Regions from separate parts of the Mus musculus genome. Here regions 2 and 3 are each reported to be linked to region 1. Evidence: microRNA targets listed by miRTarBase, many of them from high-throughput screens and not tested one by one. Region 1 holds a microRNA gene; each other region holds the end of a gene's coding sequence.
What was found. The annotated mature microRNA mmu-miR-380-5p reads AUGGUUGACCAUAGAACAUGCG and lies in region 1 at 1,758-1,779, shown strand. An mRNA with a match to its seed (bases 2 to 7 or 8) in the 3' UTR can be bound and repressed. Matches are read on the target gene's strand: a 7mer-m8 pairs with bases 2 to 8, a 7mer-A1 pairs with bases 2 to 7 and ends in A, and an 8mer does both.

Region 2: the mRNA of Fundc2 is a reported target of mmu-miR-380-5p. Seed matches in the 3' UTR shown: 7mer-A1 at 2,322-2,328.
Region 3: miRTarBase lists Yme1l1 as a target of mmu-miR-380-5p. Seed matches in the 3' UTR shown: 7mer-A1 at 1,753-1,759.

Annotation. Positions count from the first base shown.
Region 1 is chr12:109,710,049-109,714,297 of GRCm38, forward strand. It overlaps Mir380 (microRNA 380), which reads left to right and starts at 1,755; the gene lies at 1,755-1,815. It overlaps Mir411 (microRNA 411), which reads left to right and starts at 127; the gene lies at 127-208. It overlaps Mir299a (microRNA 299a), which reads left to right and starts at 590; the gene lies at 590-652. Mir299b (microRNA 299b) reads right to left here and starts at 645; the gene lies at 597-645. It also overlaps Mir1197, Mir323, Mir758 and Mir329.
Region 2 is chrX:75,393,663-75,397,911 of GRCm38, forward strand. Fundc2 (FUN14 domain containing 2) reads left to right here. Exons shown (of 5, transcript NM_026126.4): 5 at 648-3,496. The coding sequence ends at 725. Among named protein-coding and RNA genes, the nearest start is that of Fundc2, 13 kb to the left of the region's middle.
Region 3 is chr2:23,196,155-23,200,403 of GRCm38, forward strand. Yme1l1 (YME1-like 1 (S. cerevisiae)) reads left to right here. Exons shown (of 19, transcript NM_013771.5): 19 at 734-3,106. The coding sequence ends at 877. Among named protein-coding and RNA genes, the nearest start is that of Potegl, 9.2 kb to the right of the region's middle.

The DNA of each region.
Region 1 (4,249 bases):
CTTGGCTTTTGTGTGCCTGCCGCATGATGCATGCTTTGTGCCCAGCCAGACTCAAGATTCCACCAGCTCAATGGCCCAGAGGGCTTCCTGGACGTGCCCTCAGCCTTTGTCCTCGGCGTCTCTGTGTGGTACTTGGAGAGATAGTAGACCGTATAGCGTACGCTTTATCTGTGACGTATGTAACACGGTCCACTAACCCTCAGTATCAAATCCATCCCCGAGGCCCCTGGAGAAGATGCTGTCTTCGGGGAGACGCCAGTAGACTCATCATCAGGGCTTCTCCATGATGCTGGAAGAGATGGTTTTCAATATGGCGTGTGTTCTTTCCTGCATGATGGGAAATGACATAATCTCCCCCTTCCTCTGCTGAGCTCTGCCTTGGGAACTCTTGCCATCTCTGGGGAGGAGACCACAAAGCTTTCTGGGATCAGTGCTCTTCGTGACCTCAGTGACAGGGGTGTCTAGGCGACTCTTGGTTAGTAGACTCCATGACCTGCTTCTTCTCAACACCATCCCTGAAGAGGTGTCCTGAGGCAACCTGGCAGACATGAACCTTCTTACAGCTGTCCTTGCTGTCACGCGGTACTTGAAGAAATGGTTTACCGTCCCACATACATTTTGAGTATGTATGTGGGACGGTAAACCGCTTCTTGGTATCCAGCCCAGCCATCCAGTCCATACCATCCTCGAGCAAGCCTGAAGTGAGAGAAGAAACGTTGTTTTGGCTTGCTCTCTACATCGGGCTGCTTGGCCAAACATCCCTCTGCTTTTTGTGTGCTTTCTCTGTTAATTCATGTGGCAAGGTGTTCCTGTCAGCTTCAGTGCAGCCCTTAAGGGCTTCTTCAAGGATGATGACAACCTCCAGGAAGGTGTCCTACATCCCAACTGGGCATGCTCCCTCCCTCCTTAGGACTTGAAAAAGTGGCAATTAGCTCCACAGATGCTCATCATCAAGGGATGCTGCGTGTTTTCATCATCTGCAAAGCTATCATCAGATGCCTTCAAGACATTATGCCCATAGAAGGACAGCTAGGGCTACATGATACAGTGCAAAGACAGATGCATGAAGACACAGTCCCTGTTTCCACTGATGCTTCGTATATAGTATCTTTTTTTCCATATCAAGTCTAGCCTTCTAGAGGAAGATGACCCAGCCTGGCTCCTCCATGTATGCTTACAGATCAAAGTTGCTTCTTGGCTCACTTCTTCTTACCTCCAGCCCAGCCTTGGAGAACTTGCTGAAGATGCTGCTAGCCTCAGAGACAGGGCTCTGGTTCTTGCATCAGCAATGACCTCACGGTACCTGAAGAGGGATCAAGCAAACTGCATGTGTATTATTAACACCATTTGTAACCTGGCCTACTCTTTTCAATATCAACTTCAGCTTTGAAGGTTTCCAAAGAGGCCCCATTAACCTTGGGGGTGGGGGGGCAAGGCAGAAGGACAAATGCCTTGGGGTAGAGGTTGTCCATGCTTCTTGCTTTACTTACAGCGCATGTTAATTTGGTCCACCTTCCCATAATAGTGAATGCGCCTTGGGGGCTTCCTGTGAACAATATTTCCTTAAAGGCACAGTGCTAGTTACGGGGTCTTCTCTTCGCGTCCTTGCAAACTTCTCTTTGCTATATTCTCTGCATCTGCAGCAGGCAATGCATGGTGGTCTCTTTTCAACATTGCATCTAGGGTTTCCTGGAAGTGATAATCATGAGGAAAGAAGCCAGCTCCTGCACCACCCTCTCTCCATGGTACCTGAAAAGATGGTTGACCATAGAACATGCGCTACTTCTGTGTCGTATGTAGTATGGTCCACATCTTCTCGTTATCAAAGTCATTCGTGAGGGTTTTCCAGAGACCGAGCCAACTTCATGGGAGATATCCTGTCCTGGCTTCAGCACAGTACTTGGGGAGATGGTAGACTGTCGAGTGTGTGCGTTAATTCCAGCATGTACAGCATGGTCCACCACATCTCTGCATCAGCCGGTCACCAGGGGCTTTCTGAAAGCCATACCAATTGAGAGTAGGGCTCAGGCGGCAGACCCTATCCAACACAGATTACCCAGTGCTTGGCTACAGGCCATGTTCATTACCTACGACTCTGGCCATTTGATCCAAAGCCAATATTTGGCACCCAGCCCAGCCTTACAGGGCATCCTGGAAGTCATAGTGGCATTAAACATGAGTTTGTGGCCATTGCCACACATGCCGATTGCTGGTAGTTTGTGACACTCATTGAGAAGGCATTTTGGAGGTAACACCAAATTAAGTAAAGTGAGCTGGAATCAGCCAGCGTTACCTCAAGGTATTTGAAGATGCGGTTGACCATGGTGTGTACGCTTTATTTATGACGTAGGACACATGGTCTACTTCTTCTCAATATCACATCTCGCCTTGGAAGACTTCCAGGAGGTGACATCTGCTTTGAGGAAGAGCCAGTGTCCCGGTCTTCCTACTGCTGCTGCTTGGTACTTGGAGAGAGGTGGTCCGTGGCGCGTTCGCTTCATTTATGGCGCACATTACACGGTCGACCTCTTTGCGGTATCTAATCCCGCCTTGCGAGCTTTCCTGGAGCTAACACCAGCTGTGGGGTGGGGACACTAAATGTGTGTGCTAGCGCAACCCAGCCAGCGGGTTTGTCTTTTCTTGTGTCTGACAATAACTCTTGTGTGGCAGCCTTCTTCTCAGCAAATTTCTCTGGCTTGGCAGCTTCGTGGGCAGGGTGACTTGCAGACCAGGAAAGTGGCATCGACATGTGATACACGTGTGGGTGCGTGAGGTGGTTGACCAGAGAGCACACGCTATATTTGTGCCGTTTGTGACCTGGTCCACTAACCCTCAGTATCTAACCTTCCCTTGGAGAACTTCCTGGAAGAGATCTCAACTTTTGGGGACAGAGGCAATAAGCCAGCTGTACGCTGTTAGACTTGGAGACAGCATCCTCAGTACTTGCAACATATGTGCCTGTTATGGTAGTATTGGATGGGCTTCCAATGCTGTCCTATACTTGGATCCCTTCCTTGATATGGGGCCATCCAAGTTCAAGAAACGTACCATGTTGTCAGACATGACCAGGGTGTGTGTATGCCATTTATATATGGCACAGGTCGCAGGTCACCTTAGCACACTTGCATGCTAAATCTGTGGGAGGAATCATCTTTGGTTTGGGGGCATCTGTGCCTTTCTGTGGTTACCCAAAATGGTGGTAAGTCCTATAGCCAGTCTCTACTGCGCCACTGCTCTCTGGTTGTGACATAACTTCAGGATCATGCCATGGAGGTCTGCTGTACTGGGGCATGTGATGGGATGGCTGTCAGATATATATCAACTAATGGCTTGCTTGAGCACTTTGACTAACATCCAGTGTGCAACCCTGCATTCAACAGGCCTGCCAGGTCTGAAGGTCACGTTGGGGAATTACCGAGGTAGTCTTGTCAGTGTTCGCTTCTGGTACCGGAAGAGAGGTTTTCTGGGTCTCTGTTTCTTTGATGAGAATGAAACACACCCAGCTAACCTTTTTTTCAGTATCAAATCCCATCTTGGAGGCTTCGTGGTCCAGATCCCAGTCTCAGGGAAGGATGGTCCTGTCAGCATCCAGCCAGGGGACAGGAATAACTGGTTCTCCACAAAGCCAGCGAGTGGATTATCGTTCTGAATGGTGTCCTTTGTCCTCTAAACCCTCCCAGGCCTGCCAGGTCTGAAGGTCCAGTTTGGGAAGGTGTCATTGTTATTGTTAACTGAGGATGTGGAAGAGGGGTTTCTGTGTTTGAAACACATTTGGTCAACCTCTCTTCCCATCAGAACAAACTATGGAGGCCTTCTGGTCCATACCTCAGCCTCAGCTGAGGACACACTAATAGTTATGAACAAGTGAGTGACGGACAAAACCCATCCCATACATCAGATTTCTGTTGCCTGTGCTTCTAACCTTCAGTATCTTGTCCATTCTCAGGAGGACTTCTCAACCAATATGGTGTTCCAAAGTTGGGGAAGATGGCAGCCACCGAGGCAACTCTACCCCAGGTCATCACAGGTAGGTTGCACCCACTTTGCTTCTAACAGGTTAGACACAGCCACCCCCACACATGTCCAGCATGCTTTGGAGGCACGGTGATGGGCTTTTAATCAGCCAACCCCTGCTATAGGACTGTCTATTGTAGAGAACACCCACTGTGTCAGATGGTACCTAGATCCATGCTATTCACACACACCCACATCCTTGTAATAAGAGACTTGGAATCAGCAGTGTTCTAGC
Region 2 (4,249 bases), not on the chromosome of region 1:
ATCTAGATACAGAGGTAGTGAAGAGACACTGTGTACTTTGCATAATGGTGCAAGGAGGATGGACGGAGAGTGATGGGAATGTAACAGTGCAAATGGCTTACATCGTTGGAAAGTGCTTAACTTCAAGAACTGATTTGGCCTGGCCTGGGGATATGGCTTAGTGGGTAAAGTGATTGCCATGCAAGTCTGAAGACCACAGTTTTGGATTCCTAGCACTCATGTGAGGCCAGGTGGGTGAGGTGGTCTGCTTTCAGTCCCAGGGCTATGGCAAGAATCACCAGAGCAAGCTGGCTAGCCTGCATCGTAATCTCTAGGTCCAGCAAGAGATCCTGCCTCAGTATATAATGTAAGTGAACCAGGAAGACACCTATCAATCTTGGCCCTTCATACGTATGTGCACATATTCATATATATGTATGTACAATAAATAAACACATTACACACACACCACATAATGCAAAAACAAAAAGAAATGATTAGGTCAGAATGTTGGATATGTATTATTTCATATTTCTCCTGAAGTAGTCAGGAGAATAATAAAATGATAAGATAGCCATACAGAATGCCTATCCATGTATGTACTAAACCTTAGATGAATAGGAAGTTTTGTAGTAAAGTAACTTAGTATCAAATCTTCTGTTTTTCAGGTTGTATCATTTGTAAAGAAGAATGTTCTAGTGACTGGAGGATTTTTTGGAGGCTTTCTGCTTGGCATGGCATCCTAAGAACTTCACTTCATTGTTCTATTTTTATAGTTGTTTGTTTCTTGCCAGCAGCTTCTACACTCCAACATAGGACAATCGGCACTCCTCTTCCTCATCTTCTCCTGTGCCTTCCTCCCTGTTGTAGCAAATCTGAATGGCTTTAATAGGCTTCTCCTGGTGCAAGGTCTTCTCAGGCCTTCTCAATTTAACACGTTGGAAGAGACAGTAGGTGTTAACTCTTCCAGTACCCTCCTTACTTGGTTGGTGTGTAGCTTAACAAGAATGTTCCTTTTCCCCTATGTAAGATCCTTTTCCAAACTCAATTTGTTACCTTATTACATGTTACATGAAAAGGAACCAAATACATTTGCCTTTAAGCATGAAAAAATTTTGGTATCTTGGTGTATGCTTTCTTTTTAAATTGGTTTTAGGCTATAGAAAGAGAGGTATTTATACTTACTATAATTATGTTGCCAAAATGGCAGTGTAAGTACCAACACTAAAAATATTAAATGAACTTCTGCAAACAATGCATGAAGTAATATAAGTATTATATATGGTAGGTGGGTCTTTATGGAAACCAGCTGTAAGAACTTCATGAAATACAACATTTAAGCAAGAATTTGAAATGTATTTCTTTTACATACGAGTACTCTATCTGCATGTTCAACTCTGTGCCAAATCCCATTACAGATGGTTGTAAGCCACCATGTGGTTGCTGGGAATTGGACTTAGGACCACTTGAAGAGCAACCAGTGCTCTTAACTGCTGAGCATCTCTCCAGTCCCTTAAGCAAAAATTTTAAAGAGATGTTCCAGGCATTCAGAATAAGAATAGCATATGTGTAATAAATTATTTTCATCAAATGCAATCTCCATCAGAAATATTGCTTAATATAAAAATCCATGTATACTTTACATTATTCCATAATAGCTATTACCATGAGCTCAACTCCAACTACAAAAGCATCTTCCAGAAGTTAAGTCTTCTATCATCTTCATTATACCCACAGGGCTTACTGCTTAATAGATTTCAAATATTTTTGAATATATTAATTGTATAAAGAAAGCTTCCCGTTAAAGGTTAGGTTTACCTCAAATGAATTCTTAGATATGTAGATGATCCTTTGTGCAATAGTATATTTTTAAGGTCATACATTAAGCATAATTACTTTTTTGACATACCTTAACATTGACATACTTTTGAAAATTGAAACTACCAGTGGATGTGTAAAACTAATTAGGATTCACCTATTTGCATTTCCTCACTACGTTTTGATTTTATTTGAGCCAATATAAGTTATTCTACTTGTAATACATATTAATCATCTTTCCTTACATGGTAGTATAACCAGCCTTGGTATATATTTTTCTCAAAAATTTGAAGATGATTTTTCACTATTTACTGTGGAAACATAAAGAGAGTACAGTGATTTCCCCAAGTATCCATTGCTTGCCTATAGCAATCATGTAATTGTATTTTTTATCAATTATTATAATATACCTGCCATTTTATTGTTTGCCATATGTATTCAATACTAAAAATCTAAATATTTTTTTGTTTTAAAACTTTAAAAAAGGGCTGGAGAGATGGCTTAGCCATTAAAGGCTAGGCTCACAACCAAAAGTATAAAACTTTTAAAAAAATCATAATACCTTTTTATTACAGAAAAATTAATAATGGTTAATGTCAAAACCATGCAGTATTTAAAATCCTCTTTGTATGTACAATATATTTATTGACACCTGTGTGCTATCATCTGTTTTATAGTTCTTTGTATTCTTCTTGGGGTTGTGCCATTTATGGTGATTCTTGATGTAGCCATGTTGTTCTCCCTGTGTCTTAAGTATCATTGGCATGGTGAGAGCAAAAGCTACTGCAATGCCCCTTTGGGTATGTGGTGAGGAGTGGTCATCTAGTATCTCTCTAGTGGGTTGGTAGCTGACTTCTGATCCATCTGCTTTCTTTCTGATTAATAGGGGTTACAACTAATAGACTAGTGGACTGGAGTTCCTTCAAAAGGTTATAATAGGTAATGGTCTAGACTCACATTCTACCCTGGTCTGAAATAAAATCTATAATTCTATCCTCAAGTTGGTCAGACTCCACTTGTGTTTGTGTAGAGGTGGTGCAGAGGGTTATTAGTCACAATTAGCACACTTCAAGCTCCAGTTTAGGTCAGTGGTTAGTGAAGTAGCCTCAAGCAGTTTGGGGAACCTCTATTGAGGGCTCATTGAGTCAGCATCTTTGCTTCATCTTAAATGGGAGATTACTGGGGATGTAGCTCAGTGGTAAAGCATTTACCTAGTGTTTGTGAGGGCCTGGGTTCAATCACCAACATTGTGAGAACAGAATAGCCAAGCAGGCTTGAGTTTAAATGGGAGATTACATTTTCTGAAAAAAGCAGGTAGCTGTCTTTCCATGCACAACCTAAATGTTACCAGGGTGAGGCAGTTACACTATTGAATACATTTGGTTTTGATTAGTGTTAATGTTTTCAATGAAAATGACCCCCATAGTCTCATAGGGAATGACACTAATAGGAGGTGTGTCCTTGTTGAAAGTAGGTGTACCTTATTGGAGGAAGTTTGTCACTGGGAGTGGGATTGAGGTTTCAGAAGATCAAGCAAGGCCTAGTGGTTCATTCTCTTGCCTACTGATCCAGATGTAAAGCTCAGTCCTTTCTCTAACACTGTGTCTGCCTGCCTAGATGATAGATGCTTCCCACCATAATGATAATGGACTAAACCTCTGAACTGTAAGCCAACCCCAATTAAATGTTTTCGTTTATAAGAGTTGCTGTGGTCATAGTGTCTCTTCACAGAAATAGAAACCCAAAATAAGACAATTAGCAAGACCTGTTAGGCAGGGCACATTTTTTTTTTCAAATACCCAAAATCCAATAAAATGATAGCCCCTTTACCAGAGGTGATAGAGTTGAATTTCCTTGATGTAAGATACTGAGAAGCTTGGTGTTTAAAACTGTGTTGGTATCTTTACTTCCCCTTGCTGGCAGAAATGCAGTAACATTACTTCCATCACTACTCTATAGCTCCTGGTTCACTTCTGGTACCCCTCAAGGGCACTATGGCTCTGCCCTGCATCCTTACCACTCTGGACAACCTTTGGACCAAATGCACCTCCCATAAGAGATAGGGTAAGATGAGGATGCTGCTACAGAGTTGCAATCCTTATGATATTCTCCATTAGACAGAAGGCCCAGGGGTAGAATCAGAGGCACTTTCTTTTCTGGCATGCCTGTGTGGGCTCAATGGATAGATTACAACATTTCTACTCTACGCAAGGCTCTGTAATACTATTTTTGACCAGAAACCCAGGGGATGTAGGCCCACCCATTGTTTGTGATCATTCTTATAACAGGCTAACAAGACTCCTTCAAATGACCCCTTGTTTGGCATGACCCCTCAACACTCTAGACATTGGTAAGCAGTTTTGAGGTTTTTGACTCCCCCGTATGCCCCGTCATTTGGGCCAGAGCCCTTGCTACTGGATCTGGGAAGTTAATGTCTCATAGATTATGACAG
Region 3 (4,249 bases), not on the chromosome of region 1:
AAAGACCTCACTGAGGCGCAGTGCCTATTGAATGAGGAATGTAATCAGTATTAATTAGATGGCGTGAAGGGGCTTTGGTAGCAGTATTCAGATGGTTTACTCCTTGGGAGTAGTGTTTTCTGCAAGAGGTAGGCTACTGATGATAGGGAAATGGTGGTGGGAACAGGGAAGCATCTAGCATGAGAGTAAGAACTTCAGGAAAGCAGGTTTCCAAGGACACAGCCAGGCTTTAGCTGCTTTGGGGGGTAAAAAAAAGAAATGCCTTAGTAGTTAAAACTGACAAAATGAACATTTTGGAAAGGCAAAGGCTCTTTTGAAACATTTTCTGAATTCTTCTATTGTAATGCATTGCATATACTATTTATATTATGTACAAATAATTTGCATTTTAAACAAAACTTTTAAATGCTTTTTTAAAGTATAAATCAACATGTTTTTTTTTTTTTTCCATTTTTTATTAGGTATTTAGCTCATTTACATTTCCAATGCTATACCAAAAGTCCCCCTTACCCACCCACCCCCACTCCCCTACCCACCCACTCCCCCACTTTGGCCCTGGCGTTCCCCTGTACCGGGGCACACAAAGTCTGCGTGTCCAATGGGCCTCTCTTTCCAGTGATGGCCGACTAGGCCATAATCAACATGTTTTTTAAACCACATTAGTTTTATATTTTTCTTACCTATGTTTTTTGCATCTCTATACTTTCTTATATGACTTGTTTTTCTCTTTCAGGAGTCATATGAACGAGCAAAACATATCTTGAAAACACATGCGAAAGAACATAAGAACCTGGCAGAAGCATTGCTGACCTATGAGACTTTGGATGCCAAAGAGATTCAAATTGTTCTTGAGGGAAAGAAATTGGAAGTGAGATGATAACTCTGTTGATATTGCTGGTTTTATTACAAGAATATACTTAGTCCTGCAGTCTCCTTTGCAACATTTTTCAACCCCCACTCCTGACTTGGTATATAATTCAAGGATGTGAAACACTTTGTCAATCTTCTGTCCCATTATTTGATTTTGGTTATTCCTGTGATGATACCATTGGAGATTAGTAACTCATAGCAAATACGTGAAAGGATAAATAAAGAACTGTCAGGATTAAAGAAAGACATTGAAAAATGTCAATCAATCATGTTGAAAGCAAGCAATCATTTTGTGGGTAATTACTCCAAGTGAGTAAAAATTGTGCCTTTATCTATTGGTAAGGTTTTTTTTTTTTTTTTTTTTTTTTGGAAGGTAAATTTGAAAAGCTACCATCTCCTGATAGTAACATTTCTCTGTGGGGAAAACAATGCTGTGGATAAATCATTTCTACTTACATTAGTAGAAATGCCATTGAGATGTACTTAATTATGTTCTTGATTGACCTTGTAAAATGGCCTTTAAAAGAAACTATTTGAATTGTAAATATGACGATATACTCAGAATTTAAATGATTGTAATGGATTAAAAATGCAGCATGTATGCCCATTTTTTCAAATATTACTATCTCACTGACAAGATTTGTTTCAGAACAACAATATTTTATGAAGTAAACAAGTAACATTATATTCTGAATATCTGTATAATTACATTGAATCTCAAAATCAAAATGAAACCAAAAACTCAATTCCTTTCAAAAATGATCTTTCTCTGTCGCCTTGTCAGAATTGGAAGGCTTGTTCCATCTGCACATTATAGGGTTTACAAGGTAATTTCATATTCAGATCAGTAGACCATAGTGTGAGTGCATTTTATTGGTGTTACAACCAAGTTACATTCTTGAAGGAACTATTAAAATTACATTGTTTTCTTATTGAGGATGTTCATGGTCCTTATTAAAGAAGATAGATATAATTAAAGGGACCTTGTTACATGATATTTTGACCTTTTTTAATGTTAAATTTTTGATACACACAAATTTCACAATTTCAAAGTGAAAAATGTTGATAGAGCTCCATTATATTGATTAAGACCAACAGGTTTTAATTTTCACTGCTTTTTGCTGTCTCCATTGTCACTCATGTTCATGTGTTTGTTCTTTCTCTCTTGTGCCCTCATTCTCTACATATTCATGCATACACATATGGAAAAACATCGGTGTTTTATCTAACCTGACTTCAGACATTTTTACAGTCCCATAGAGCTGTAATTTTCATGTTATAAAACATATCCATTGTAAATATAGATACCAAAGACCCCCCCACCCCCTTTTTAAAATTGTGTAATTACCTCAATTAGGTTTTAGGACAATTTTTTTCAAGCCTTCAAAATTCAAAGTGACTACACAGTTTTGTATCTTGTATTATGTAAAGTTTCAGCTTCATCACTATTCAACATAAAAGTGCTGTTTCACTATCGACATCCAAATTGAATCCCAGTCTCAGTAAATTATATAGCAAGTTTACTGTGGCTTTTGAGTTTAGTTGGTTTTATTGCTTCTACTTTGTGTGTATGCAAAGACTTTAATAACCAAGTGTAGATATAATTAGCTGGAGAATTTTCTGCTCTGTATGTCTGGTAAACCTAGGATATTTCATGAAGTGATTATCAACGTCCTCTGGGTTTCTCATATCACAGAAAGATCACACTGATTGTATCTTGCAGAGTAGCCAACAGTTTTAGGCTAGTAAGCGGCTGATCATTGCGATCCGATTTAGTCAGTACTACATCAAGGCAGCTGAGTTCTCTGGTGAAATGAGGATAAGCCTTTTTTATATTTTTCTTGGGGTGGGTTCTTTTGTTGTTTGCTTGTTTTTTGTTGTTTGTTTAGTTTGGAGTCCTTTCCAGAAAGTTCTGTTTTGTAGCCTAGGCTAGCCTCCAACTGACATCCTTCCACCTGAGCCTCTGGGTGCATCATTCTTGGCACACATATCTTATTTACAGGGTCTTTCTTCACCCTGGTTTGAACTTGGGACTAGGAGCTGCCCTGAGTTGGCAGGACCACCAAAGAATCATGTTCTGGGTTAAATTTAGTGATTTTCATGAAGAAACAAGTCATACTTTTTTGTAGGTCTCTTGTTAATTCCTGGAGTCATAGAATGGTTGGTTGTTTTGGTTTCGTTGAGGTTTGTAGTTGACTCTTTTCAAATAAAAATGAATTTATCCTGATATATTTTATCACATTCCAACTGAAGCATTTTAAGGAGAGTGAATTTAGAAAAGAATTTTAAGCTTTTTTGAGCTCATATTCAATGCCATCCAAATGCCTGAATTGAATTATGAGAATTGGTCTCTCCTGTTTCTATCTCCCAGCATGAACACCCACTTAAATCATTCATTGTATGTGAAAATACCTTGACGTGTATCAAGCAAGCCTGGTTGCAGCATCCTAAGTTGGGAATGATAGAAAGACAGCTGTGCATTACTTAGGTTACACTTGCCCACATCTCAACAGCAGAGCATGAAGATACATGCTCTCCGTGGGGACAAAGGAAGAAAGTACAGAATCCGGTTTCAGACTCTAATACTGGGCTTGCACAGATCCCCACGGACACTTTCCCGTGGTGACAGTGAGATGGTGACTGACTGTAATGGCCATCAGCTCAGAGTAACCTATAGCAACAGGTATGCCTCAGCCCTCGGCAGTCTTGATTCCGTTCCCTCTGAATGCCACATCCAGCCACGGTAGTTCTAGGTTTAGAGTTCTTCTGCAGCTCCAGTGATCGTGACCTTAAGAATCTTAACAGAAGACCTGGGGAGGCTTACTATGGAATGCCATTTTGCAAAGTTAGGCTACAGAGGTTGGATTCAGCACAGCTTCAGTGAGCAGGCAGTAGGCCAGAAACAATTAGAAAAATAGCAAATCAAGATGCAAGTCAAGGTACTACTAGATAAAAGGGGAAATTTTAACTGTCAGTGGCAAAGAATATATAGCACCCCTTTTGAAAATATAAACCTCAAGGTAGTAATTTTGAAGTTAGAGCAATTTAATAGATTTAAGTAATTTTTTTAATCTTTTGAGTTTATACATACTGTGAGTGAAGCATAAAATGGTGGTAGAGAGCAGTAGCAATAAAATTGTGAGAAATTAACACAGCAACAAAAAAGCCCCCTAACAAATGAAAATGAAAAAAAATCAGGAGCCAGTGAAAGGACTCAAGTGTAAAGCATTTGCTGCTGGGACTGATGACATTAAGCCATACACATGGTACAAGCAGAGAACCAACTGTTCTTGTAGGGGTTTGTTTTATCAAGTTGACACAAACTAGAGTCAACTGGAAAGAGGGGCCTCAAGTTATAAAATGTCTCCATCGGATTGAC